4 linked regions of the Anolis sagrei genome follow. The protein of the gene in region 4 interacts with the protein of the main gene of each other region in a biochemical or structural test. Links are inferred from orthologs where the notes say so. Each region holds a gene or a part of one and is shown on either strand. Other genes may lie near its edges.

The links.
Region 1: the proteins of EP300 (region 4) and PTMA form a complex in vitro, tested with the Homo sapiens proteins (2 studies listed by BioGRID). The link is inferred for Anolis sagrei from reciprocal best matches to the Homo sapiens genes EP300 and PTMA.
Region 2: of the proteins of EP300 (region 4) and histone H2A type 1-E, one has a biochemical effect on the other in vitro, tested with the Homo sapiens proteins (8 studies listed by BioGRID, with this or other methods). The link is inferred for Anolis sagrei from reciprocal best matches to the Homo sapiens genes EP300 and H2AC4.
Region 3: of the proteins of EP300 (region 4) and AKT1, one has a biochemical effect on the other in vitro, tested with the Homo sapiens proteins (3 studies listed by BioGRID, with this or other methods). The link is inferred for Anolis sagrei from reciprocal best matches to the Homo sapiens genes EP300 and AKT1.

The regions. Positions count from the first base shown.
Region 1 is NC_090023.1:266,613,928-266,620,788, forward strand, and holds the start of PTMA (prothymosin alpha), read left to right. Parts: upstream 1-3,850; 5' UTR 3,851-4,157; coding exon 4,158-4,211; intron 4,212-6,861.
Region 2 is NC_090026.1:11,267,496-11,273,634, forward strand, and holds histone H2A type 1-E, read left to right. Parts: upstream 1-4,839; 5' UTR 4,840-4,930; coding exon 4,931-5,320; 3' UTR 5,321-5,620; downstream 5,621-6,139. Other genes in the region: histone H2B 5-like, read right to left, coding at 4,128-4,508. UniProt on the Homo sapiens protein: Core component of nucleosome. Nucleosomes wrap and compact DNA into chromatin, limiting DNA accessibility to the cellular machineries which require DNA as a template.
Region 3 is NC_090021.1:328,325,239-328,332,215, forward strand, and holds the start of AKT1 (RAC-alpha serine/threonine-protein kinase), read left to right. Parts: upstream 1-3,949; 5' UTR 3,950-4,320; intron 4,321-6,977. UniProt on the Homo sapiens protein: AKT1 is one of 3 closely related serine/threonine-protein kinases (AKT1, AKT2 and AKT3) called the AKT kinase, and which regulate many processes including metabolism, proliferation, cell survival, growth and angiogenesis.
Region 4 is NC_090025.1:161,827,752-161,834,765, reverse strand, and holds the start of EP300 (histone acetyltransferase p300), read left to right. Parts: upstream 1-3,994; 5' UTR 3,995-5,608; coding exon 5,609-5,702; intron 5,703-7,014. UniProt on the Homo sapiens protein: Functions as a histone acetyltransferase and regulates transcription via chromatin remodeling. Acetylates all four core histones in nucleosomes. Histone acetylation gives an epigenetic tag for transcriptional activation.

The sequences.
Region 1 (6,861 bases), on a different chromosome or scaffold from region 4:
TATATGTGATTTCTAATCTATATAATATAATATATAATATTAAATAACTATTAAATATTATATATATAAATAAATAATATATTTATTATATATGTAATTTTAAGATGGAACATATTAAATGTAACACTAAAGAAATATATTAAATATTACATTTATATAAATAATATATTTATTATATATGTGATTTATCATCTATATAATGTAATATATAACATTAAATAAATATATTAAAAATTATATATATAAATAAATAATATATTTATTATATATGTAATTTTAATATATAATTTTAACATGGAACATATTAAATATAATACAAATATTATTTATTAGACAATATAATAATATAAATCTATATAATGTAATAAATAACATTTTAAATAAATATATTAAATATTATTTATATATAAATAAATAATATATTAATAAATATATTAAATATTACATTTATACATATAAATATATTTATTATATATGCAATTTTAATATACAATTTTAAGATGGAACATTAAATATAGTACAAATATTATTTATTAGACAATATAATAATTCTAATCTATATAATATAATATATAACATATTAAATAAGTATATTAAATATAAATGTAATGTATACAATACATAATACTGTGTATTATATATATACATATACATATATATATATATAGGCATATAATATGTACAGTGTAGAGTATATATGTATATTTATTATATATATAATTTTAATCATATATATATATATATATATATATATATATATGCATGCATAATGCATATAATCCATAATGTATGTATTATACAGGGTTAGTCAAAATGAATAGGCCAAAAAAGACATTGCCTATTGGCTTATTGGCCTATTCATTTTGACTAACCCTGTATATGTGTGTGTGTGTGTATTATATAGAAAACCTGGACAAAACCCAACATTGCTCGAATTTCCTTGCTTTTTCCCGCCCAAAACCCAGCCAGCATCTGAGAATTTCCCGCCCCCTTCTTATTTTATTTCTATTTTTTGCAAAGTGGAGTTTTGGAGTTTGCGTGCAAAGCGTCTGCTTTTGTTTTGCTTTACAAAAAAAAAAAAAGTGGTGAAATCTTCCCCGCCATGACAACCAAAAACGTTTCGGCAGTGTCTATGGCAGCGAAGACAAATGATCCCCCGGCTTGCAAAATACACGCAAGTCCCCAAACACGCAAAACGGCGCGTTCACACGTGCAGGATGCGTGCAAATGCTTCCCCGCGGCCGCAGGAGGGCGCGCGCGGCTTGCCCGCGCCCCCTTTCTCGGAAAGGAAACACGCAAAGGGAGGTTGCTGTGACCGGCGTTTGTCCCGCGTCGAAACCGCGTTAGACACGTGTATGCTCCCTTTTAGCATCCCATGCCACCCAATGCAAAGCTTTTGACTCTTTTTTGCAACTTCATGGGGAGTCCAAATGCCCTCTTTTGCGACCCCCATATAATATATTTTATTTATTTATTATAGATTTGCCCCCCAATGCCCCCCTTTTGCAACCTCCCATATCCCCCAATGCTCAGGAAATGCCCCTTTTTTGCAACCCTAATTGACAACTGGGTTGGGATATATAATATATTTTATTAATTAATTATATATTTGCCCCCTTTTGCAACCCCCATATAACTTATTTTATTATACAGGGTTAGTCAAAATGAATAGGCCAATAAGAAAATTAATTGTACCCGAATTGGCCTATTCATTTTGACTAACCCTGTATATTTGCACCCAATGCCCCTCTTTTGCAACCTCCCATTTTTCCCAATGCCCAGGAATGGGGGGGGGGGGTGTGCCCCTTTTTTGCAACCCCAATCAACATCTGGGTAGGAATAGGGTGTGTACAAATGCCCCCTTTTCCTGGGCATTGAGGGATATGGGAAAAGGGGGCATGCACTCATCCTTTGCCCGTTGGGGTGCTTATGGGGGGTTGCAATAGAGTGCATAGGTTGCAAAAGGGGGCAGATGCCCACACCCCATGCCTTAAGCGGGGTTGCAAAAGGGGGCATATGCACACACCCTATTCCTACCCAGATGTTGATTGGGGTTGCAAAAAAAGGGGCACACCCCTCATTCCTGGGCATTGGGGAAAATGGGAGGTTGCAAAAAGGGGCATTGGGGGCAAATATATAATAAATAAAATAAATTATATATTCCTACCCAGTTGTTACTTGGGGTTGCAAAAAAGTGGCACCCCCCCCCCATTCCTGGGCATTGGGGGATATGGGAGGTTGCAAAAGGGGGCACGCACTTATCCCTTTCCCATTGGGGAGGGGTGTTTATGGGGGGGGGGGTTGCAATAGAGTGCATAGGTTGCAAAAGGGGGCATATGCACACACCCTAATTCTACCCAGATGCTGATTGGGGTTGCAAAAAAAAGGGGCACGCCCCTCATTCCTGGGCATTGGGGGGTATGGGAGGTTGCAAAAGGGGGCATTGGGGGCAAATATATTATAAAAATAATAAAATATATCATATATTCCTACCCAGTTGTCAATTGGGGGTGCAAAAAAGGGGCACACCCTCATTTCTGGGCATTGGGGGATATGGGAGGTTGCAAAAGGGGGCATTGGGGGCAAATATATTATAAATATAATAAAATATATCATATAGTCCTACCCAGTTGTCAATTGGGGGTGCAAAAAAGGGGCACACCCTCATTTCTGGGCATTGGGGAAAATGGGAGGTTGCAAAAGGGGGCATGCACTCATCCTTTTCCCATTGGGGTGCTTATTGGGGGCATATGCACACACCCCATTCCTTATATGCCCCCTTTTGCAACCCTGCTTAAGGCATGGGTGTGTGTGCATATGTCCCCTTTTGCAACCTATGCACTCTATTGCAACTCCCCATAAGCAACCCAATGGGAAAGGGATGAGTGCCTGCCCCCTTTTGCAACCTCCCATATCCCCCAATGCCCAGGAATTGTGTGTGTGTGTGTGGGGTGTGCCACTTTTTTTTGCAACCCCAATCAACATTTTGCAACCCCAATCAAAAATGCCCCCTTTTGCAACCCCGCTTAAGGAATGGGGTATGGGCATATGCCCCCCTTTTGCAACCCCGCTTAAGGAATGGGGTATGGGCATATGCCCCCCTTTTGCAACCCCGCTTAAGGAATGGGGTATGGGCATATGCCCCCTTTTACAACCTTTGCACTCTATTGCAACCCCCCATAAGCACCCCAATGGGCAAAGGATGAGTGCATGCCCCCTTTTGCAACCTCTCATATCCCCCAATGCCCAGGAATGGGGGGGGGGTTTGCCCCTTTTTTGCGACCCCAATCCACAACTGGGTAGGAATAGGGTGTGTGCATATGCCCCCTTTTGCAACCTATGCACTCTATTGCAACCCCCCCATAAGCACCCCAATGGGCAAAGGATGAGTGCCTGCCCCCTTTTGCAACCTCCCATTTCCCCCAACGAGGAGTGCAGGGCATGCCCCTCTAAACGAACCCCAGATATACCCCGCAATGCGAAGGAGGAGGAAACTATGCCTGTTGTTTGTGTGTCTTGCAAAATAAATAAATAAATAAAAGGCCCTCTTTCCCCTCCTCCCTCCTTTTTTCCTCCCCCTCCCCCCTTTTCCCTCCCTTTGGCTGAGCAAAGGGAGGGAAATGGAAGGAGGGAGGAAAGAAGAGAAGAGGAGGAGGAGGAGGAGGAAGAGGAAAATTAGAAAGAAAGGAGGGGGGGAAAAAAAAAAGCTGCTGTATCACTTTAAGCAGCCCTTGCCCATTGTTCGCGCCTTAGCCAATCAGCGCGTTTCGAACTGCCCGGGACGGCCAATCAGGGGCGAGCGGGGCTGCCCTCGCGCCGCCCACTCTTCTATATTAAAGGCCCGGGCGCCGCGTGAGCCTTCCACTGGCTCCTTCCTAAAGCCATCTTTGCATTGTTCCTGCTGTTGCTCCTTTTGCAAGAAGAAGAATTTAAATATATATATAATTAAATAACTAAAATACTTTATATTATTATTATTATTGCAATCCTAGCGTTTGGATCTTTTTGACCTTTTTGCTGCTGCTGCTGGTGTGTGTTTTGGGTTTTGTTTTTGCAAAGAGGAGGGAAAGCAAGCAAGCAAGGACTATATATTTTTTTGAGCTCTCCACAGAGTTCTTTTCTCCCTCCATCTCTCTCTGTCTCACCTCCCACTCGCAATGTCAGACACAGCCGTGGACACCAGCTCTGAGATCTCCACCAAGGTAAGGAAGGTGGGAAATAGTATTATTATTATTATTATTGTGCATCCTTTTGCCTTTCTTTGCCTCCCCCCCGAGGACCGTCTTGCCTTCTTTCCGCCTCTTTCCTTTGTTTGCAGCGCTTCTTGCTTTGCAAAGGGACGCCGGGCTCCTGTTGCCTCCAGTCTTTGGGTAGAATAATAATTATAATATTATATATAATAATATAATAATAAAATGTAAATAAACACTTCGAAGGGACGGTCGGGTGCTTTTGCATTGCAGCAAGTGGGACTTTCTTCCCCTCGTGCTCCTGTTGCCTCCAGTCTTTGGAAGGGAAAACAAAATAATATGGAAGGGAAAATAATATTTAAGAATATGATAAAATGTAAATAAACCCTTTCTTCGAAGGGACGGTCGGGTGCAATTGCATTGCACCAAGTAGGACTTTCTTCCCCTCGTGCTTCTGTTGCCTCCAATCTTTGGAAGGGGAAATAATAAAATAATATATAATAATAATATTATTATAAAATGTAAATAAATCTTTTCTTCGAAGGGGCGGGCGGGTAGTTTTGCATTGCACTAAGTAGGACTTTCTTTCCCTCTTTTTTTTGCTTTCCCATGAATGCCAGTAATGTAAAAATATATTATAATAATAATATAAAATGTAAATAAACCTCCTTCGAAGGGGCGGTCGACTGCTTTTGCATTGCAGTTAGTAGGACTTTCCCTCGTGGTCCTGTTGCCTCCAGTCTTTGGAAGGGAAAATAATATAGAATAATAATTATTAATAAAATAAAATGTAAATAAACCTCTCCTTCGAAGGGGCGGTCGGGTACTTTTGTATTGCAACAAGCAGGACTTTTTCCCCTCCTTTTTTTTGCTTTGCCATGAGTGCCAGTAATATAAAAATATATAATAATAATATAAAATAAAAGTAAATAAGCCCTTTATTCGAAGGGGCGGCGGGTACTTTTGCATTGCACCAAGTAGGACTTTATTTCCCTCCTTTTTTTGCATTCCTGTAAATGCCAGTAATATAAAAATCTATAATAATAATATTATAAAATGTAAATAAATCCCTTTCTTCGAAGGGACGGTAGGATCCTTTTGCATTGCAGCAAGTAGGACTTTCTTTCCCTCCTTTTTTTGCTTTGCCATGAGTGCCATTTGCTTTGCAAAAAGCCCCTGGGCGGTTTATGGAGGGGGGGAAAAGAGAAGCAGCAGCAGTTCCCATTCAAAGCCGGTTTCGCGGAGTTTAGCAAACTTCCGACGGCTCTGTCTCTTTTCCAAAGAGAAAATTACAGAGTTAGAAGCAATCCAAGGTGTATTCCTGGAGTGTGACCCCCTTCTCTCCCCCTGAATCCGGATCCCAAAGTGGAGCGACTCCTTTGTGATGCCTTCCGAAGGTCTCCGGATCCTTTAATCCGGTTTTTCCAGCCATAATTGGACGGAAATAACTTTAAAACGACCCCCAAATGGGACCAAGACTGAAGTGTGGTTTGTTCTTTGAACAGGAAGCAAAAGAATCCCCCTTTCTAAACATGTTTTGCTTTGCTCTCCTTTGTTTTGCACCGTCGGGGAACCAGGAGGAGGGTCTTCCTTAATTCTCTCCTATTCCCAACCTTATTTCCTTCCCCATATTGTAGAGGAAGGGGCTTATTTATATCTTTCCCCCTCCCTCCAAAAGAAAACAATAGACGTTGGTTTCACCTTCGACGGGGAGGTCTGTTTTTGAACTGAGATGACCCTTATTTCTCTCCCCCCTCCCGTTTTGAGTGAAAAAAGTAACTTGGGAAAGAAAGGGGACAAATTTAGAGGGGTCTGGACCCATTTGCCTCGAAGGGGAGGGCGAAGAAAAGAGAAGGAAGAGGAGGGAGGTTGGTTGTTTCCTTGCTGAAAATCAAAGGCTGTTTTCCTCTTTGGAACCGGTTTGCAATGTAGACTAACCCCCCTCCCCTTTGAATCTTCCCTTGTAACCAAATGTTGGAGACCCCCCCCCCCCCCAATCTCCAATTACCCTTGGGATTGCAATGAATGCATTCACCCTCGACGGGGAGACAAACCAATGCTATACATACATTACATACTCATTTGCTCCAATCCTAATCATCCTACACACTTTCCCATAAATTTAAGTCTCTTTCAACCCCCCCCCTCCCAAAAATGATTGGCATCCTCGACGGGGCGGGCCCAAGGTCAACCGACATGAAAAAGAAGGGTATATTTGAGTAGCTATCCCTTTAAGAGGCTGGTTGCCCCCCTTTTCCCTCCTACCATCATCTCTCTGCCTTTTCTCTCTCCCCCCCCCCCCTTCCTACTAATTCAGATTAAGGCTTTTGAAGTGTAATTCGGATTAAGGGCATGCGCCTTCCCACCCCTTTAATCCGACTCATTGCATCCAAGGGAGTCTATTATTATTACTATTATTATATATATTTTTGGGGGACTATTATTATTATTATTATTATACAGGGTTAGTCAAAATGAATAGGCCAATTCGGGTACAATTAATATTCTTATTGGCCTATTCATTTTGACTAACCCTGTATATGTATTTATTTATTGGGGGGAAAGGGGGTCACAGAGAGGGCAGGTCACAACCTTGGAAAATCCGGATGTAGGAAAATTATTTTTTTTTAGGTAGGAAACAGAGAGCCCCCATTGGCTTTTTATAATAATA
Region 2 (6,139 bases), on a different chromosome or scaffold from region 4:
ATGGCTATCATATCTCCTCTCAGCCTTCTCTTCTGAAGGCTAAACATGCCCAGCTCCTTAAGCCACTCCTCATAGGGCTTGTTCTCCAGACCCTTGATCCTTTTAGTCGCCCTCCTCTGGACACATTCCAGCTTGAAATGCAAGAGGGCGCCAAATTATCAGAAATCAGACCAGAAATCAGAATTAGTTTTGGTATGTAAAAGTAATCAGATTATGCAAAAGGAAAAAAAAATATAACGCTGGGATTTATTTGCCCCAACTGGAGCACACTCATTCATTCAAGTCCTAGCCACAGCGTTCATGTTACTGTATGGTGAATCAACACAAAGGTAAATCCCATTGAGTGGATCTATTCTGCACAGGACTAACAACTAGATTTGGGCCACGATGAAAGCACAAAATTATTATTTTTATTATTATTACTACCTCTGAGGATGCTTGCCATAGATGTAAGTGAAATTTCAGGAGAGAATGCCTCTAGACCATGGCCATATAGCCCGAAAAAACCTACAACAACCCATTATTATTAATAATAATAATAATAATAATAATAATGTTATTCTTATACCCCACCACCATCTCCCCAAAGGGACTCAGGGTGGCTTACATATGGGACAAAATGCCCACAGACATAGATACAAAACAATTTGTCAAAGAAAAACACAATTAAAATAAAGACATAGTATAAAACAGCAATGTTAAAACTCAATTGAAAGTACGCGGAACAATGGCTTCAAACTACAGGAAAGGAGATTCCACCTGAACATGAGGAAGAACTTCCTGACTGTGAGAGCCGTTCAGCAGTGGAACTCTCTGCCCCGGAGTGTGGTGGAGACTCCTCCTTCGGAGGCTTTTAAACAGAGACTGGGTGGTCATCTGTTGGGGGTGCTTTGAATGTGATTTTCTTACTCCTTGGCAGAATGGGGTTGGACTGGATGGCCCACGAGGTCTCTTCCATCTCTAGCATTCTATGATTCCATGATTCTAAAACAATACTCAACAATTGCCAGTAGTACAGTGGGTGTGGCCATGCTATAAAAGGGCTACACATGGTATTGTGCAAGCAGTGTATCATAATTCTGAGTATTGGATGAAGTGCAGAGAACAAAATATTATTAGGGAACCTAGGGACTGGGCATTTAAAACTAGGGACTAGGCATTCTCAAATGCAAACTGAAACATCCAGGTTTTAAAATCTCTGTGAAAGGATGCTTGCCTAATCTCTCTTGGGAGGGAGTTCCAAAGTTGGGGGTCACCACTGAAAAGGCCTTCTCCCTCGTCCCCACCAACTGTGCTTGTGACAGTGGTGGAATCAAGAGGAGGGCCTCCCTGGCAAATCTTAGAGCCCACACCAGTTCATAGGGGGAGATGCGGTCATGAAGATAGGCAGGACCAGAGCTGCTTAAGGCTTTATAGATCATAACCTGCACTTTGAAATGGGACTGGAAACATATCAGCAGCCAGTGGAGTTGGTTTAGTAGGGGTGTCATGTACTCTCTATAATTAGCTCCAGTTAGAAGTCTAGCTGCTGACCTTTGTACCAATTGCAGCCCCAAATGCAATTCAAATGCAGTCTCACATAGAGTGCATTACAGTAGTCCAATCTGGATGTAACTAAGGCATGGTCCACCGTAGCCAAGTCCAACTTCTTGAGGTACAGTCGCAGCTGGCACATAAGCTTTAACTGTGCAAAGGTCCTCCCAGCTACTGCCAATACCTGAGTTTCAAGAGTCAGCGATTAATCGAAGAGGACTCCCAGACTATGGACCAGTGTCCTCTGGGGGAGTGTAATGTCATCAAGCACAGGTTGCCATCCTATACCCCAATTGGTCTCATGAATGACCAGGAGGACCTCTATCTTGTCTGGATTAAGCTTCAGCTTGTTATCGCCCATCCAGTTCATCACAGCTCTGAGGCACTGGTTCAGGATCTGGCTGGCTTCCTTGGAATTAGGTGGAAAGGAGTAGTAGAGTTGAGTGTCATTTTCATACAGATGCACTGAACTCTGAAACTCTGGATGACCTCACCCAGTGGTTTCATATAGATGTTACGAAGCATGGGTGATAGAATGGAGCCTTGCGGGACCCCACAGGTCAATGGCCAGGGGTCCAAGCAGGTGTCCCCTAGCTTCACCAACTGGGTGCGATCCTCCAGGAAGGAGTGGAGCCACTGCAAAGCAATGCCCCCAAGACTTATTCCAGAGAGCTGCCCTAGAAGGATACCATGGTCGATGGTTTCAAAAGCCGCTGAGATGTCCAAGAGAACCAACAGGGACACACTCCCCTTGTCTAGTTCTCTATGGAGGTCATCCACCAAGGCGACCAAAGCTGTCTCTGTATTGTGCCCAAGCCTAAAAACAGACTGTGATGAATCAAGATAATCATTTTCATCCAACAATCCCTGGAGCGGAGGAGCTGAGAAGGGCTCCTATTGTCACAATCTGCAATTGAACTAACAAACTAGATTGTAGGACCTTCTGTGCTGCACTATAAAGTTCCAGGTTAGGTACCCTGGAGTCCAAGGCACAAGTCAAATGTCTCTTTAGTATTAAAAAGTTGATTTATTTATTTTCAGTTCAACTGGAGAAGCTTTTAAGAGGAGCTTGAAGACGTGGTTGTTCCAGTGTGCCTTCCCAGAATAATGATTCCATAGCACTTTGTCCTCTAAAGCATTTTATATATTTAGGTCTGCTCTATCACTGCCCTATCACTTTTTCATCCATATCCAGCTTTATTTTTAATCTTTTAATTTAATTACATTTGGCCTACCCATAGTTTTTAAAGTGTGTTGTCCTATTGATATTGTATGTGTTATTGGTTTACTGTTTTGTTATTTTAAATTGCTTGTATTGTTATTGCTTGTTGTATTTTGGGCTTGGCCTCATGTAAGCTGCACTGAGTCCCTTGGGGAGATGGTAGGTAAAGGTAAAGGTAGTCCCCTGACATCAAGTCCAGTCATGTCTGACTCTGGGGTGTGGTGCTCATCTCAATTTCTAAGCCGAAGAGCTGACGTTCTCCATAGACACCTCCAAGGTCATGTGGCCGGCATGACTGCATGTAGCGCCGTTACCTTCCCGCCGGAGCGGTACCTATTGATCTACTCACATTCGCATGTTTTCGAACTGCTAGGTTGGCAGAAGCTAGGGCTGATAGCAGAAGCTCACACCGCTCCCTGAAATCGAACCTGCAACCTGTAACATTGGCTACTGTTTTGGGGGTTCAGTTGATACACTTATATATTATTACACAAGTAATAAAAATTGCAATGAACTTACAAAGTTTGGCATTCTATTTCCCAGGAAAATATAAAGTTGGCTACTGTTATTGAGGCTTAATTGATGCACTTTTACATTGTTAAAAAGGACAAGGTAAAGGTAGTCCCCTGACATTAAGTCCAATCATGTCTGACTCTGGGGTGTGGTGCTCATCTCAATTTCTAAGCCGAAGAGTCAGCGTTGTCCATAGACACCTGCAAGGTCATGTGGCCAGCATGACTGCATGGAGTGCCATTACCTTCCAGCCGGAGCAGTACCTATTGATCTACTCACATTTGCATGTTTTCAAACTGCTAGGTTGGCAGAAGCTAGGGCTGACAGCGGAAGCTCACGCCGTTCCCTGGAATCAAACCTGCGACCTTTCGATCAACAAGCTCAGCAGCTCAGTGCTTTAACCCACTGATGGTAGCGGGGTATAAATAAATTATTATTATTATTATTATTATTATTATTATTATTAAGGTTATCACTGGAGCAATCCTGAGAATTTTACTTTAGTGAAGCAAAGTTCTATTTGTCAGAGCAGACCTTGCAGAACTACAAACCGCAGAGCCCCATAACATACAGACATGACAGTTCAATTAGTGTTAAAACTACTTTACTTTTACAGCATTGTTGCCACCCCAAACTGGTATTCCTGGTATTGTTGGCCAAGGCAGCTGAGACTTCCGGGAGTTGGGGAGTCCAAAACATGAGTGCTAGATGAACCCTTTAGTGTTCGATTAATAGAATACCTGAAAGTTTCTAAAAGGAATATCCCAAGTTGCAAGAAATGCAATGGCAACTCTTTTGTTGAGAAAGTGGGTGGCTCTTAAAAGAGCCTTTGGGTCTGTTTAGGGACTCCATTGGGAGTTTACTTGGAGCTGGTGTACTTGGTGACAGCCTTTGTGCCCTCCGAGACGGCGTGCTTGGCCAGCTCCCCGGGAAGCAGGAGGCGGACGGCGGTCTGGATCTCGCGAGAAGTGATGGTGGAGCGCTTGTTGTAGTGCGCCAGGCGGGAGGCCTCACCAGCGATGCGCTCGAAGATGTCATTGACGAAGGAGTTCATGATGCTCATGGCCTTGGAGGAGATGCCGGTGTCCGGGTGGACCTGCTTCAGCACCTTGTAGACATAGATGGAGTAGCTCTCCTTGCGGCTCTTTCTGCGCTTCTTGTCTCCCTTCTTCTGGGTCTTGGTCACTGCTTTCTTCGACCCCTTCTTGGCTGCAGGCGCTGACTTTGCTGGCTCTGGCATTGTCAAACTCTCTCTGCGACACACTCACAACAGCAAAGAATTTCAAAGAACTAACCAGCCGACTCTGAGCGCTCTGTATTTATACAACGTCTATGCTAATTAGTAGCTCAGAATTCGCTGTTTCCCATTGGCTGGGGAGAGCGCGTCTCCTATTGGGCGGTTAGAACCACTATGCAAATGAAGGAATTCTTCCATTGTGATTCTATTGGGGGGATATAAAATGCCGCGTTCCTATTGGGCAGAAGAGTAGCCGTGTTTTCTATTGGTTAGATGAACTCAAAAGGAAACAGGCAGCCAATCGGAATTCGCAATTACGAGCCGCAGGAGTGAATAAAAGGCAAGGAAGAGCATTTTCTCTCCATCCGTTTCATTTCAAGAGTAGTTTCTCTTCTTCGAAAGGTTCTTCTCTGAAAGCTTAAATCATGTCTGGACGCGGCAAGCAAGGAGGCAAAGCCAGAGCCAAGGCGAAGACTCGCTCTTCCAGAGCCGGGCTGCAGTTCCCCGTGGGCCGTGTGCACCGTCTCCTCCGGAAGGGCAACTACGCCGAGCGGGTGGGAGCCGGGGCGCCGGTCTACCTGGCGGCAGTGCTGGAGTACCTGACGGCTGAGATCCTGGAATTGGCGGGAAACGCGGCCCGGGACAACAAGAAGACCCGCATCATCCCTCGCCACTTGCAGCTGGCCATCCGCAACGACGAGGAGCTCAACAAGCTGCTGGGCAGAGTCACCATCGCCCAGGGAGGCGTCCTGCCCAACATCCAGGCCGTGCTCCTCCCCAAGAAGACCGAGAGCCACAAGGCCAAAGGGAAGTAAACAAAGCCCTCTTGGTCTCCAGGAGAAAAAAACAGAACCCAAAGGCTCTTTTAAGAGCCACCCACACATTCAGAAAAAGAACTTGATCACTTGGAAACAATTTGCAATCTCCTCCAGGAAATATTGTATCATCCAAGCCCTGATACTAATGGGGGAAATAAAGTGCCAAGCTTTGTAAGTTCGTTACAATTTTTTTCACTTGTGTAACAATGTAAATGTAAAAGTATCAATTAAACCTCAATAACAGTAGCCAACTTTATATTTTCCTGGGAAATAGAATGCCAAACTTTGTAAGTTCATTGCAATTTTTTCACTTCTGTAACAATGTAAATATAAAAATGTATCAATTAAGTTTCAATAACAGTAGCCAACTGTACATTTTCCTGGGAAATAGAGTGCCAAACTTTGTAAGTTCATTGCATTTTTTTCACTTATGTAACAATGTAAAAGTATCAATTAAGCTTCAATAACAGTAGCCAACTTTATATTTTCCTGGGAAATAGAATGCCAAACTTTGTAAGTTCATTGCAATTTTTATTACTTGTGTAATAATACGCAAGTATATCAACTGAGCCCGAATTGTTGTTGTTGTTCATTCGTTCAGTCGTCTCAGACTCTTCGTGACCTCATGGACCAGCCCATGCCAGAGCTTCCTGTCGGCTGTCACCACCCCCAGCTCCTTCAAGGTCAGTCCAGTCACTTCAAGGATGCCATCCATCCATCTTGCCCTTGGTCGGCCCCTCTTCCTTTTGCCTTCCACTTTCCCCAGCATCATTGTCTTCTCTAGGCTTTGCTGTCTCCTCATGATGCGGCCAAAGT
Region 3 (6,977 bases), on a different chromosome or scaffold from region 4:
GGTTTGAGGACCCCTGTTCTAGACCAATGCTTCTTAAACTGTGGGTCCTGATCCCAACTAAATGGGGTGATGAAAAATGTGGCAACAGTAAAAGGTTTCTGAATGCCACCTAGTGGCTGTTTTAGACATTTACACAGATTGGTTGTGCAGAGTTTGCAGTGGACTCTGCGGAAGATGCTTCAACCAAAGTAAGTAAAAAAACAAATAAATAAAAGTATCACAATAAAAACAATTTATTTATTTATTTATTTACTTTGCTTCTATACCGCTGTTCTCAGCCCGAAGGCGACTCACAACGGTTCACAAGACACAGGACACAGCAGAATTCAAACACCAATATAAACAATTAATACCCTAATCTAATACACAATACACGATTACTATGATAACCATTCACTAGCGTCTCGTCACTAAAAACATGATCCAAATGTGTTATCCATTGTTCCATTCCTATGTCATTACCAGTCTTGCACTAATTATTCGAACGCCTGCACAAATAACCAGGTCTTTACTTTTTTGCGGAAGACCATTAGAGATGGTGCTAATCTAATATCTGTGGGAAGGGCGCTCCACAGCCGGGGGGCCACCACCGAGAAGGCTCTGTCTCTCGTCCCCGCCAGCCGTGCTTGTGAAGCTGGCGGGATCGAGAGCAGGGCCTCCCTGGAAGATCTCAAAGTCCTGGTGGGTTCATAGGCCGAGATGCGGTCGGAAAGGTAGCTTGGGCCGGAACCGTTTAGGGCTTTAAAGGTCAACACCAGCACTTTGAATTGAGCCCGGTAGCAAGTCGGCAGCCAGTGGAGTTGGCGCAATAATAATAACAGATAAAAGTATAATAAAATAAAAATATAATAAATATAAAAATAATAGTGTCACAATTAAAATAATTTTTAAAATCGTTGTTGTTGTTTATTCGTTCAGTCACCTCTGACTCTTTGTGACCTCATGGACCAGCCCACGCCAGAGCTCCCTGATGGCTGTGGCCACCCCCAGCTCCTTCAAGGTCAAGCCAGTCACATAAAATAATATAATGTAATAAAAATAATTGCATTGTGTCATGTTTGCTATCTGCAGCTTTGAGTCCGTAAATTGGGAGCAAGGCTGGACAATATCAAAGTATGTAAGTCAATCAATGAAAACAAGCATAATAATAAAAATAAGAAGGATAATAATAAAAAATAAAAAGTATAAAATAAAGATTAAAAATGAAAGTATCCTAAGACTAACTATAAGAATATTTTTAAATTAAAAAATCAAACAGATACTCAGTATAAAACATTATAATAAAACTAAATGCATTTGTATAAAAATAAGAAAAATGAAAAAGTATAAATAAAAAAACAAAATATAAAATATAACAAAACCAAAAGTATTTTATCAATAGAAAAAATGAAATTTAATGTACTGGAATAAAAATGAAAGCAGTATAAAGATAAAAATAAAGATATAATAAAACAAAGGTATTTCAATTATAAAACCAAAAACAACATGAAGATCAAAATGAAAGCATTCTAATATAATAATAATAATAATAATAATAATAGTAATAATACCTTTATTTGTAGACTGCCCTCTCTCCCTGAAGGGATTCAGGGAGGTTTCCACCATATATGGCAAACACTGAATGCCAATAAAAAGACATAAAAACAAATTACATCAAAACAGGATACATCAAACAATATAAGACAGCGTAACTATAAACTTAATACTAAATAAAAATTGACCAAAAATAAAACTTAAATAACTTAAAACTTAAATAAGTATCATCATAAAAATAAGAGTATTATTAAATGAAAGACAAAAACAAAAGATAATAAATAAAATATTATCATAAAAATAAAATTATTCCAATAAAAATAAGAACAATGAAAATAAAAAGATTATAAAGTTAATAAAATAAAAGTACCCTAATATCCCAATATAAAAGTATCCTAATATAGAAGTATCATAAAAGAAAAAAGAAAAGAAAAACTAAACATAATAAACAAAAATTATAATAAGCATAAAAGTATTCCAATAACAATAAGAAGAACAAAGAAAATATTATAAAATCAAAAATAAAGCTTAAAAAGTACCCTAACATATAAGCATCATAATAAAAATAAAAGCATTACAAAATCTCAGACAGAATAAAAACTAAATATAATAAATAATAAAAAATATTACCATAAAAGCAAAAAATGACTTAACACATTATCCATAAATTACCAATAATTGTGCATTGTAATTGCTTATTGGTAATTTATGGATAATGTGTTAAGTCAATTGTTATATGTTGTATGGAATCACTGCTGTTTCTACTGTTTTTACTGTTTGTGAACCGCCGTGAGTCGCCTTCGGGCTTGAGATACAGCGGTATATAAGCAAAGTAAATAAATAAATAAATAAATAAAAGTGTTACAAATAACAACAGGAAGAACAATGAAAACAAAAGTATTCAGAAGTAAAGATAAAAGTATCCTAACAGAAAAGTATTTCGTTGTTGTTGTTTATTCACCCAGTCGCTTCCAACTCTTCGTGACCTCACGGACCGGCCCACGCCAGAGCTCCCTGTCGGCTGTCACCACCCCCAGCTCCTTCAGAGTCAAGCCAGTCCCTTCAAGGATACCATTATTTGTATATTTATTAACTTTATTTGTATACCGCTCTTCTCAGCCCTTAGGCGATTCAGAGCGGTTTACAACAATTTAGGTATTTGTTGTTGTTCATTCGTTCAGTCGCCTCCGACTCTTCGTGACCTCATGGACCAGCCCACGCCAGAGCTCCCTGTCGGCCGTCACCACCCCCAGCTCCTTCAGAGTCAAGTCAGTCACTTCAAGGATGCCATTCATCCATCTTGCCCTTGGTCGGCCCCTCTTCCTTTTGCCTTCCACTTTCCCCAGCATAATTGTCTTCTCTAGGCTTTGCTGTCTCCTCATGATGTGGCACAATACAAAATCATTAAGCATTTAAAAGCAATAGCATCACAAATCATTAAACATCAATATCAATACATCACTACATCAATATAACAAATCCATCAGGTCTCCTCAATGAAATCAGAATCCAAACTCGTTATCCGATATTCCGTGTTCCGATAGTCAGTCAATCAATCACAGTGCTTAGTTGAATGCCTGTTCAAACAGCCAGGTCTTTACTTTCCTCTGGAATGCCAGCAAGGAGGGGGTCGATCTAATATCTGCAGGAAGGGCGTTCCACAGCCGAGGGGCCACCACTGAGAAGGCCCTGTCTCTCGTCCCCGCCAGGCGTGCTTGTGAAGCCGGCGGGGACGTTTTGCTGTTGTAATTTTTGCGTTTTTTTTTTAAATACTCAATCAAAGGATTGTAATTTTTTAAAAAAAAAGATGGGGAAAAAAGAGGAGGAAAAAAAATGAAAGTATGGTAATAAAAAAATTAGCATCCTAATATAAAGGTATTTAGAAAATAATAAAATAAAATAAACCTAAATATAAAATATTCTTAAAAGTGTTTTTTAAAAAGTGAAAATAAGAAAAACGAAAGGATTGTAATAAAAAAAAGTTGGGGAAAAAAGAAAAATAAGAAAAAACAAAGGTATTGTAATAAAAAATAGTATCCTAATATCAAAGTATTGAAAAAAATCATAAAATACAAAACTAAATCTAACATATTCTTAAATGAGGGTGTTTTTTTTAAAAAATGTGAAAATAAGCAAAATGAAAGGATTGTAATTTTAAAAAGATGGGAAAAAGAGAAAAATAAGAAAAATAAGTATTGTAATAAAAAATTAGTATCCTAATATAAAAGTATTTAGAAAATAATAAAATAAAAAAACTAAATATAAAATATTCTTCAAAGCGGTTTGTTTTTGTTTTTTTTTAAGTGAAAATAAGAAAAATGAAAGGATTGTAATTAAAAAACAAAAAAGGATGGGAATAAGAGGAGGAAAGAACAGGCGGGCGTTAGGACCGCGCGGACGCCGTCGGGGGGCGGGTGGAAGAGGGAGACACGCAGACACACTCACCCAGGGCGCGAGTGAGTCAAAGGAGGGAAGCGGGAGGAACTGGGATCCGCCGCAGGAGCCAAGGCGGCAGAGGCAACAAGAAGGAGGAGAAGAGCGGCAGCAGCAGCAGCAGAGACCCGCAGCGCGCGCCGCCTGCCTGCTTCCTTTGCTGCCTCCCTCTCTTGGCTGCTCTGCTCTGCTTTCCATGGGCTGATCCCTCGCGCCGGAGCCGCAACTGCAGCAGCAGCAGAAGGAAAGGACGAAGAGGAGGAGGAGGAGGAGGTTGCAGCCCTTCCTTCCTTCCTTCCCTCCTTCCTTCGTTCCTAGGCCTCAGCTCCTCTTCTCCTCCTCCCTCGGCGGCATGTAAGTGGGCCCGGGCCTCCCTCCCTCCCTCCCTCGGGGTGATTCCTTTGGCTCCCTCCCTTCCTATTTTGGTGTCCCTTTGGTGCATTCATTGTCCAGGAGGAGGGCTGGATGCAAAGCTTCGGGGGAAAGGCCTAGATGCTTGGAGATGGGTGTGTACACACACACACACACACACAGACACAGAGGCATGCTTTTCTATATATATATATGCATGCACCTTTAGACACAAACATGCATGCACATGCATACACACAAGGCATCTCTCTCTCTCTCTCTCTGTGTATATACTCTCACAAAAACAATGCACAAGCATGCATAGATCTGTACACACATGCATGCACGTATACACAATGCATATATATCTCTGTAAATATATATACTCACACAAACACACAATGCACAAGCATGCATAAATCTATACACATGCATACACACAATGCATCTCTATATATATACTCACAAACACCATGCATGCACATACATCTCTCTCTGTATATATATATATATACTCACACAAACACACAATGCACAAGCATGCATAGATCTATACACGTGCATGCACATACATACACACAATGCATTTCTCTGTATGTATATATATATATACACACTCAAACACAATGCACAAGCATGCATAGATCTATACACACATGCATGCACATACATATACACAATGCATATCTCTCTCTCTGTAAATAATATATACTCACACACAATGCACAAACATGCATAAATCTGTACACGTGCATGCACATACATACATACACACAATGCATCTCTATATATATACTCACAAACACCATGCACATGCATGCACATACATCTCTCTGTATATATATATATACTCACACAAACACACAATGCACAAGCATGCATAGATCTATACACAGATGCATGCACATACATATACACAATGCATCTCTCTCTCTCTGTAAATAATATATACTCACACACAATGCACAAGCATGCATAAATCTGTACACATGCATGCACATACATACATACACACAATGCATCTCTATATATATACTCACAAACACCATGCACATGCATGCACATACATCTCTCTGTATATATATATACTCACACAAACACACAATGCACAAGCATGCATAGATCTATACACAGATGCATGCACATACATACAATGCATCTCTCTCTGTATATATATACTCACACAAACACAATGCACAAGCATTCATAGATCTATACACACATGCATGCACATATACACAATGCATCTCTCTCTGATATATATATATATATACTCACACAAACACAATGCACAAGCATGCATAGATCTATACACACATGCAAGCACATACATACAATGCATCTCTCTCTGATATATATATACTCACACAAAAACAGAATGCACAAGCATGCATAGATCTATACACTCGGGCATGCACATAGATACAATGCATCTCTCTATATATATATACTCACAAACACAGTGCACACCCATTGTATGCACATGTCTTTAGGCATAAGCTATATACACATGCATGCATGCGCATAGATACAAACAATAGACACATACACAATGCATATATACTCAGAAAACAAAACACACACAATGCACGCACATTGTATGCATATGCCTTGAAATACAAGCTATATGTGCATGCATGCACATAGATACAAATAATGCGCACATACACTACACATGCATTGTATGCACATGCCTTTGGATACAAACGTGCATAAATCTATACACACAATGCATATATACTCAGAATGCAAACACACAATGCACATGCATTGTATTCACATTACTCACATGCCTTTGGACACAAACATGCATACATCTATACATATAATGCATATATATAGACTCATAATGCACACACATTGTATGCACATGCCTTTAGACACAAACATACATGGATATATACACACATGCATACATGCACATAGATACACACAATGCATATATTATATATACTCACACAAACACAATGCACATGCATTGTATTCACATACATTTAGACACATACATGCATACATCTACAGTATATATATATAATGTATATCTCTCTTACACACAATGCACACACATTTTATGCACACGACTTTAGACACAAACATGCATGGATCTATACACACATGCATGCACATAAACACAATGCATATATCAACATACATATTCTCACACAATGCACACACATTGTATGTACATGCCTTTAGACACAAACATACATAGAACTATACACACATGCATACATCCACATAGATACACACAATGCATATATATATATACTCACACAAACACAATGCACATGCATTGTATTCACATACTTTTAGACACAAACATGCATACATCTACAGTATACATATAATGCATATCTCTCTCACACACAATGCACACACATTTTATGCACACGACTTTAGACACAAACATTCATGGATCTATACACACATGCATGCACATAAACAATGCATATATATATATATTCACACAAACACAATGCACATGCATTGTATGTGCATGTCTTTAGACACAAACATGCATAGATCTATACATACAATGCGCGTGCGCACACACACATATATATCTCACACATGCATTGTATACACATGCATTATTTCTTTATTTATATACCACTTTTCTCCCATGGGCATACAGTAGTTGGAAGCAACAAACATTACAT
Region 4 (7,014 bases):
AGGAAGAAAGTCACTAAAGAGTGATGTCATATAACACAGGGTTAGAGGAATTTTGAACGTCACAGGTTTTGTACTATAGTTACCATAATATTTTACATTTGACTATGTTTGAGAGGACTTCTTAGAGTTACATTCAAAGCTATTTGAGAGTGAATGTGTCCATACCTGTTACAAAATGCACAGTCAGCCCTCTGCATTCACTGGGAGCCCTTCCACACAGCCATATAACCCAGAATATCAAGGCAAAATATCTGGAATATATGGCAGCATGGACTCAGATAACTCAGTTCAAAGCAGATATTGTGGGATTTCCTGCCTTGATAATCTGAGTTATATGACTCTGTGGAAGGGCCCTGGGACTGGGGACACAGAACCTCCATGAAAGTGAAACACTTAAAATAAAAACGTTGCTATTTTGGTTGTTTCTTATCTATTGGTATTATATAAATCTTAATAAACACAAAAACCCAACTTTTTAAATGTGAGAGAACAGTTTTCTGTGATTTATAGATGCTGGAAGCTGATTATCAAATTGCATTGAAGGGCCATTCCTAGGGCCCTTCCACACAGCCCTGTAGTAATTCTGTAGAATTACTGACAGTGGGTTCATTGCAATGATGAACATTATTATTATTATTATTATTATTATTATTATTATTATTTGTCGTGTCAGGAGTGACTGCAAGTTGCCCCTGGTGTGAGAGAATTGGCCGTCTGCAAGGATGTTGCCCAGGGGACACCTGGATGATTTTGATGTTTTTATCATCCTTGTGGGAGGCTTCTCTCATGTCCCCGCATGAGGAGCTGGAGCTGATAGAGGGAGCTCATCCGCCTCTCCCCGGATTTGAACCTGCGACCTGTCGGTCTTCAGTCCTGCCGGCACAGGGGTTTAACCCACTGCGCCACTGGGAGCTCCATTATTATTATTATTATTATTATTATTATTATTATTATTATTTGAAACAAGCGGAGTCCACAGCAGACAAGATCACTCTGCTGGCTGTTGAATTGGGTCACACGTGTCCAAGTGTCTAGGACTGTGTGATGTATCGGCGAATGATGCGTGCAGATCCCAGTAAGGTGGCCTTCTGCAGCTGGCAGATGGTAATTTTGTCAGTGCTGATTGTGTTTAAGTGCAGGCCAAGGTCTTTAGACACTGCACCCAGTGTGCCGATCACCACTGGGACCACCTTGACAGGCTTGTGCCACAGTCTTTGCAGTTTGATCTTTAAATCCTCATATCGTGTCGGCTTTTCCAGTTGTTTCTCTTCAATCCTGCTGTCACCTGGGATTCAACATCGACAATCCATACTTTGTTTTTTAACACAATCGTGAGGTCAGGAGTATTATTATTATTATTATTATTATTATTATTTTACTGACACAAAAGCACAGTATGTCACAGCAAACAAGATCTATATGCTGGATTTCATATCAAAAAATCACAAGTCGAACACTTCCCAAGCGTTTAGGACTGTGTGATGTATTTTCAAATTATGTGTGCAGATCTAAGTAAGTGGCATTTTGCAGTTGATAGATCGCGATTTTGTCCATGTTTATTGTTACCAAATTGTTTGGCACGGCACCCAGTGTGCTGATGACCACTGGGACCACCTGTACTGGTTTATGCCAGAGCATTTGCAGTTCAATTTTGAGGTCCTTATAACAGCCAAGTTTTTCCTGTTGTTTTTCCTCAGTGCAGCTGTCATCCGCTATGGCGACATCAATAATCCAAACTTTTTTCTTTTCCACAATCGTGATGTCTGGTGTATTGTGTTCCAAAACTTTGTCAGTCTGGATTCGAAAGTCCCACAGTATTTGTGTGTATTCATTTTCCACTACTTTTGCAGGTTTATGATCCCACCAGCTCTTCACTACTGGCAGGTGGTACTTGTGACATAAGTTCCAATGAATCATTTGGGCCACAGAGTTGTGCCTCTGTTTGTAGTCCATCTGTGCGATTTTCTTGCAACAGCTGAGGACATGATCAATGGTTTCATCCACTTCATAGCACAGTCTGCATTTTGGGTCATCAGCTGATTTTTCAATCCTGGCCTTAATGGCATTTGTTCTGATGGCTTGCTCCTGGGCTGCAAGAACCAGGCCTTCTGTCTCCTTCTTCAGGGTTCCATTCGTGAGCCATAAGCAGGTCTTCTCCTTATCCACTTTTCCTTCAATTTTGTCAAGGAAATGCCCATGCAATGCTTTGTTGTGCCAGCTGTCAGCTCTGGTTTGGAGTGCAGTTATCTTGTACTGATTCTTTGTCTGCTGTGCTTTGAGAAGTTTCTGATTATTGACTTCAATTAAAGCAGGTTCTTGGCTTTCCTTTACATATTCTGCCAGGACGTGTTTTTCTTCTTTGACTTGTAGAAGTCCTCTGCCCCCAGACTTTCTAGGCAGATAGAGCTGATCAACATCACTGCGAGGATGTAGTGAATTACAGTCATGAATTTTCTTGTTTTTCTGTCCAAATTGTCCAGTTCTGTGTCCAGTTTATGATGCCAGCAGTATATCTTATGACAGGTATGGCCCAGGTATTTTTGGCCTTGATGGTGTTGCCTCCATTGAGCTTGCTTTTGAGAATTTTTCAGACCTTTTGAATGTATTCTTGGCTGACCACAGTTTTCACATGTTCATGTTTGATAGTAATAATAATAATAATAATAATTAGAAACACAACAAGATGAGTCCACAGCAGACAAGATCACTCTGCTGGTTGTTGTACTGGATCACACGTCAGACACTTCCTAAGTGTTTAGGACTGTTGTTATTATTATGGTTGTTATTGTTGTAGATGGGGCCCTGGTATGGTGACATCAATAATCCAAACTTTTTTTATTTTCCACAATCGTGATGTCTGGTGTCTTGTGTTCCAAAACTTTGTCAGTCTGGATTCGAAAGTCCCACAGTGTTTTTACGTGTTCATTTCTCACATTTGTGTGTTCATTTTTACAACAGGCCCATCATGAACCTTTGCAGGTTCATGATCCCACCAGTTCTTTACTGCTGGTAGGTGGTATTTGTGACATTATTATTATTGTTGTTGTAGATGGGGCCCTGCAAACCGCCTCTTCTTCGCCTCTGAGGCTGAGCAGAGAAAATGGGGTTCTCTAATTCTAAGTGTGGGGGAAATGTGTTGCTGTGTGTGTTCCGGAGAAACTAGTCTACACAGGAAGAACAGGGCGTTCTTGCCGCCTGGACATACTCTGGTTTCCTGGTGATCGCGGAAGAGAGGGCGACTCTCTGCTTCGTGTTGAGTGCCAGACAGCAGGTGTGGTGGGGCGGCCTTGGGCGGCGTCACACACTCTCGGCCTCAGTCGGGACCGGCCCGAAGGCCAAGCATGGAGGCCGGGACACCTTGGGCTGCCAGGCCGCCTTCTGTTATCCCAGAAGGGAGAGGCCTGGGTCCTGGCAGGGAAAGCAGGGCGAGAATGGCGTAAGAGGGGAAGGAGGCCTTTGCCCCTCCGCCCTCAGGCTGCGCCGTGATTTATGATTCTTACGATGGCCAGTGTATAGGCAGAGCACACAATCTGGATAATATCCCTACGTGTGTGTGTATATCTAGATCTATACGGGGCCTCGCTCTCTCTCTCTCTCTCTGCGGTCCCTGCGGCGGGGCCTCCTCCCAGCCTGCCTCACTCTCCTCCTTCCCTCCCCCCTCCCTCCTTTTACAACAGGCCTATCCTTAAAATCTCAACCTGGCGGCTGATTTTGGCCGACGGAAAAAAAGGCGGAGGAAGGGAGAAGGGGAAGAGATGTGCGCGTGCGCGCGCCCTCCCCTTTAAATCGCCGAGCAGGGTTTTTTGTTTTTTTTTTGCGGAAGGGGGAGCGCGCGAGCGGAGTGGCCTAAACCCTCGCCTCGTGACCGCAGCCGGCTCGGGCTCGAGCTCGGGCCCCGCCCCGCGCGCGTTCCATTGTGTGCGCGAGCCTGCGTGCCGTCCCCGCCCCTTTTGCCCCTCCCTTCCTTCCCTCCTCTTTGGCCACGCCCCCCCTTTCCCCCCTCTTGGCTCATTTCCGGCCGCGGCTGCTTGGCTTCCCTCGGAGGAATCGGGAGAGAGAGAGAGAGAGTGAAGAAACAACAGCCGCCATTTTGTTTGTGTGTGTGAGAAGAGAGAAGAGAGCGCGACTGGCTCCAGGGAAGAGAGGGAAGAGAGAGGACGGAGAAAGAGAGACAGAGACAGAGAGAGAAGGGGGACCGGGGAGAGAAGGAAGGGAAAGAAAGGAGGAAGGAAGGCAACGACGGCTGAGTGAGATCCGGGCACTCCTCGGTTCAGGGAAGAGTCGAGGCCAGCCGAGAGCGTCGCCGACCCGTCTTGCTCCCGGCCTGGGCTTGGGACCCCACCCACAGCGCCGAAGGAGGAGGGCTTGGGGCCTGTGGCCTGGCTCCGCGCCTCCTCCATTCCCTCCCTCCATGGCGGGCAGGAGACGGAGCCCTCCGAGTAGCAGCAGAAACGCCTGAGGCACCACCACCGCCGCCGCCTCGGCTCCGGAGCCCCGTCTCCCTCCGCCTCCTCCTGGCTCTCCATTAGCCAGTCGCCCTCCTTCTTTCCGGGGAGGGGAAAAGAGGCAGCGAGAGGGAGAGCGAGAGAGGGAGGGGGAGGGGCCGTCCTAGCTTCCTCCTCCTCCTCTGGGATCGATCCCTCCGCCTGACCAGAAGGGGGGTACCCTGCCACAGAGAGAGAGAGAGAGAGAGAAAGGAAGGAAAGGTAGAGGAGGAAGAGAAGAGGAAGAAGAGCCCTCCTCCCTCTCTCCTTCCCTCCTTCCCTCCCTCCATCGGGACAACAACCCCCTCCTCCTTGTTCCTGCACAACAAGATGTGAAGCGGGGACTCCTGGGACTTCTCTGCTGCTGCTGCTGCTGCTTCATCCTCCTTTCCTGCAGCCATTGGTAGTGACTGACTGGCCGGCCAGGGAGGCGGCGGTAGGGGGAGCCGGGGACCCCCTTTTCCTTCTCCTCCCTCTCCACCTGGGGGCCATCTCGTCGGCGGGGAAGCGGGGACGGTTCTCCTTCGCCTTTTCCTCCCCCCCGCTCCTCCTCCTTCGCCCGCCGCCTCCTTGTGGCGATGAGGAGGAGGAGGACGACGCCGAGGAGGAAGAGGTTGATGGCGGCGGAGAAGAGGCAGCAGGAGGAGGAGAAGAAGAAGGAGGAGGCGACCACGACGACGGCGTTGGCTTCCACGGCGACCCCCCCGAGGAGGATGGCGATGAAGATGGTGGCGTTGGCGGCCGCGAGGAAGCCCCAACAGCCCCGCAGCCGGATTTGAGCCGGCTTGGGGAACCCATCAAGTCCTGCTCCCTTGTTGTTACTCTTTTTGATCCTCTGTGGCATCCAGAGAAAAAAGACTGCTTCTGCTGCTGCTGCTTCTTCCACACCCTGTTTCTTCATCTCTGTTTTCTCCCCTCTTAGTCGCTGCTGCTACCCAACGGAGACAGATCCCGAGGGGCATTAAAAGAAAGAAAAAAGAGGAACTTTGTTCTTTTCTTCTTCTTCTTCTTCTCGTATTTGTTGTTGTTCACTTGATTCCTGATCCGAGGAGGTGGCTTTTGCGGCACTGGAGATCGATCCCCGTCTTCAATTTGGGCTCTGTTTGTCTAAAAAAGAATTAAAAATGGCCGAGAATGTGGTGGAGTCGGGCCCGCCTTCAGCCAAGAGGCCTAAACTCTCCTCACCGGCTCTCTCTGTCTCTGCAAGCGATGGCACAGGTCAGTTTTGGGGAGAGATACCCCTCGTTTTCCCTCACTGCACTCTGGGAGCCTTCTCTTCCCTCTTGGGCTCCTTTTGCTCCCATGTAGTCTCTCCTCTTGCTCTTCTATGAACCCACTTTTACACTTGGCTGCATTAATCAGTTGTGGGGTTTCAGTGCTGTTGCCTTTCATATCGTTGAAGAGGCTGAAAGCCAGTCTATACTGGCTGGTTTACCTGTGTGGCCATTTGCTGTCTTGAAGGCTCCGTTAACATTGTCTCTTAGTATTTGCACAATGCCTTGTACTACAGTATATACCTGGCATGGGCAAACTTTGGCCCTCTACTACATCCACACTATGGTATATACCAGGCATGGGCAAACATTGGCCTGCCAGGTGTTTTGGACTTTAACTCCTACAATTTCTAACAGCCAGTAGGCTGTTAGAAATTGTGGGAGTTGAAGTCCAAAACAATCTAGAGGACCAAAGTTTGCCTATGCCTGGTATATATCATAGTGTGGATCTATACTGGCTGGTTTACCTGTTTGGCCATTTTTCTCTTTAGTATTTCTATAATGCCTTGTGCTACAGTATATACCAGGTATGTGCAAACTTTGGCCCTTCATGTGTTTTGACTTCAACTCCTACAATTCCTAACTGCCAGTGGGCTGTTAGGAATTGTGGGAGTTGATGTCCAAAACACCTGGAGGGCCAAAGTTTGCCCATGCCTGGTATATATCATAGTGTGGTTTACCTGTGTGGCCATTTGTTGTCTTGAAACCTCTGTTAACACTGTCTCTTAGTATTTGTACAATGCCTTGTGCTACAGTATATACCAGGCATGGGCAAACTTTGGCCCTCCAGGTGTTTTGGACATCAACTCCCACAATTGTGAAATTGTGGGAGTTGATGTCCAAAACACCTGGAGGGTCAAAATTTGCCCATGCCTGGTATATATCATAGTGTGGATGTATGTTCATTTTCTCATGTAACAGGGCATTCAGTGCCAGCCTTCCTTACTCCTTAATGTTATCAATATTCTGATTTGAACCATTGCTTGTTTCATTTCCACTAAATGGAATGTAGCCAATGTAGATGAATAGTGTTCATATTGGCATTTTTGTCAAAGCAGTTTCACCAGATTTGCATTGAAAACAACATGGATTCTCTTCTTAAACTGCATGTTTGTTTCTTTGTGAGTCCAAAATGTCTGAAATTCCGATAGTCTTGCTACGTTTATGAGGACATGGACAAATCATCTAGCTGTCTTTCCTATATTTTAATGATGGGTTTATTGATGGGCCTGTGAGTTTGGATGGAAAGAACTGAA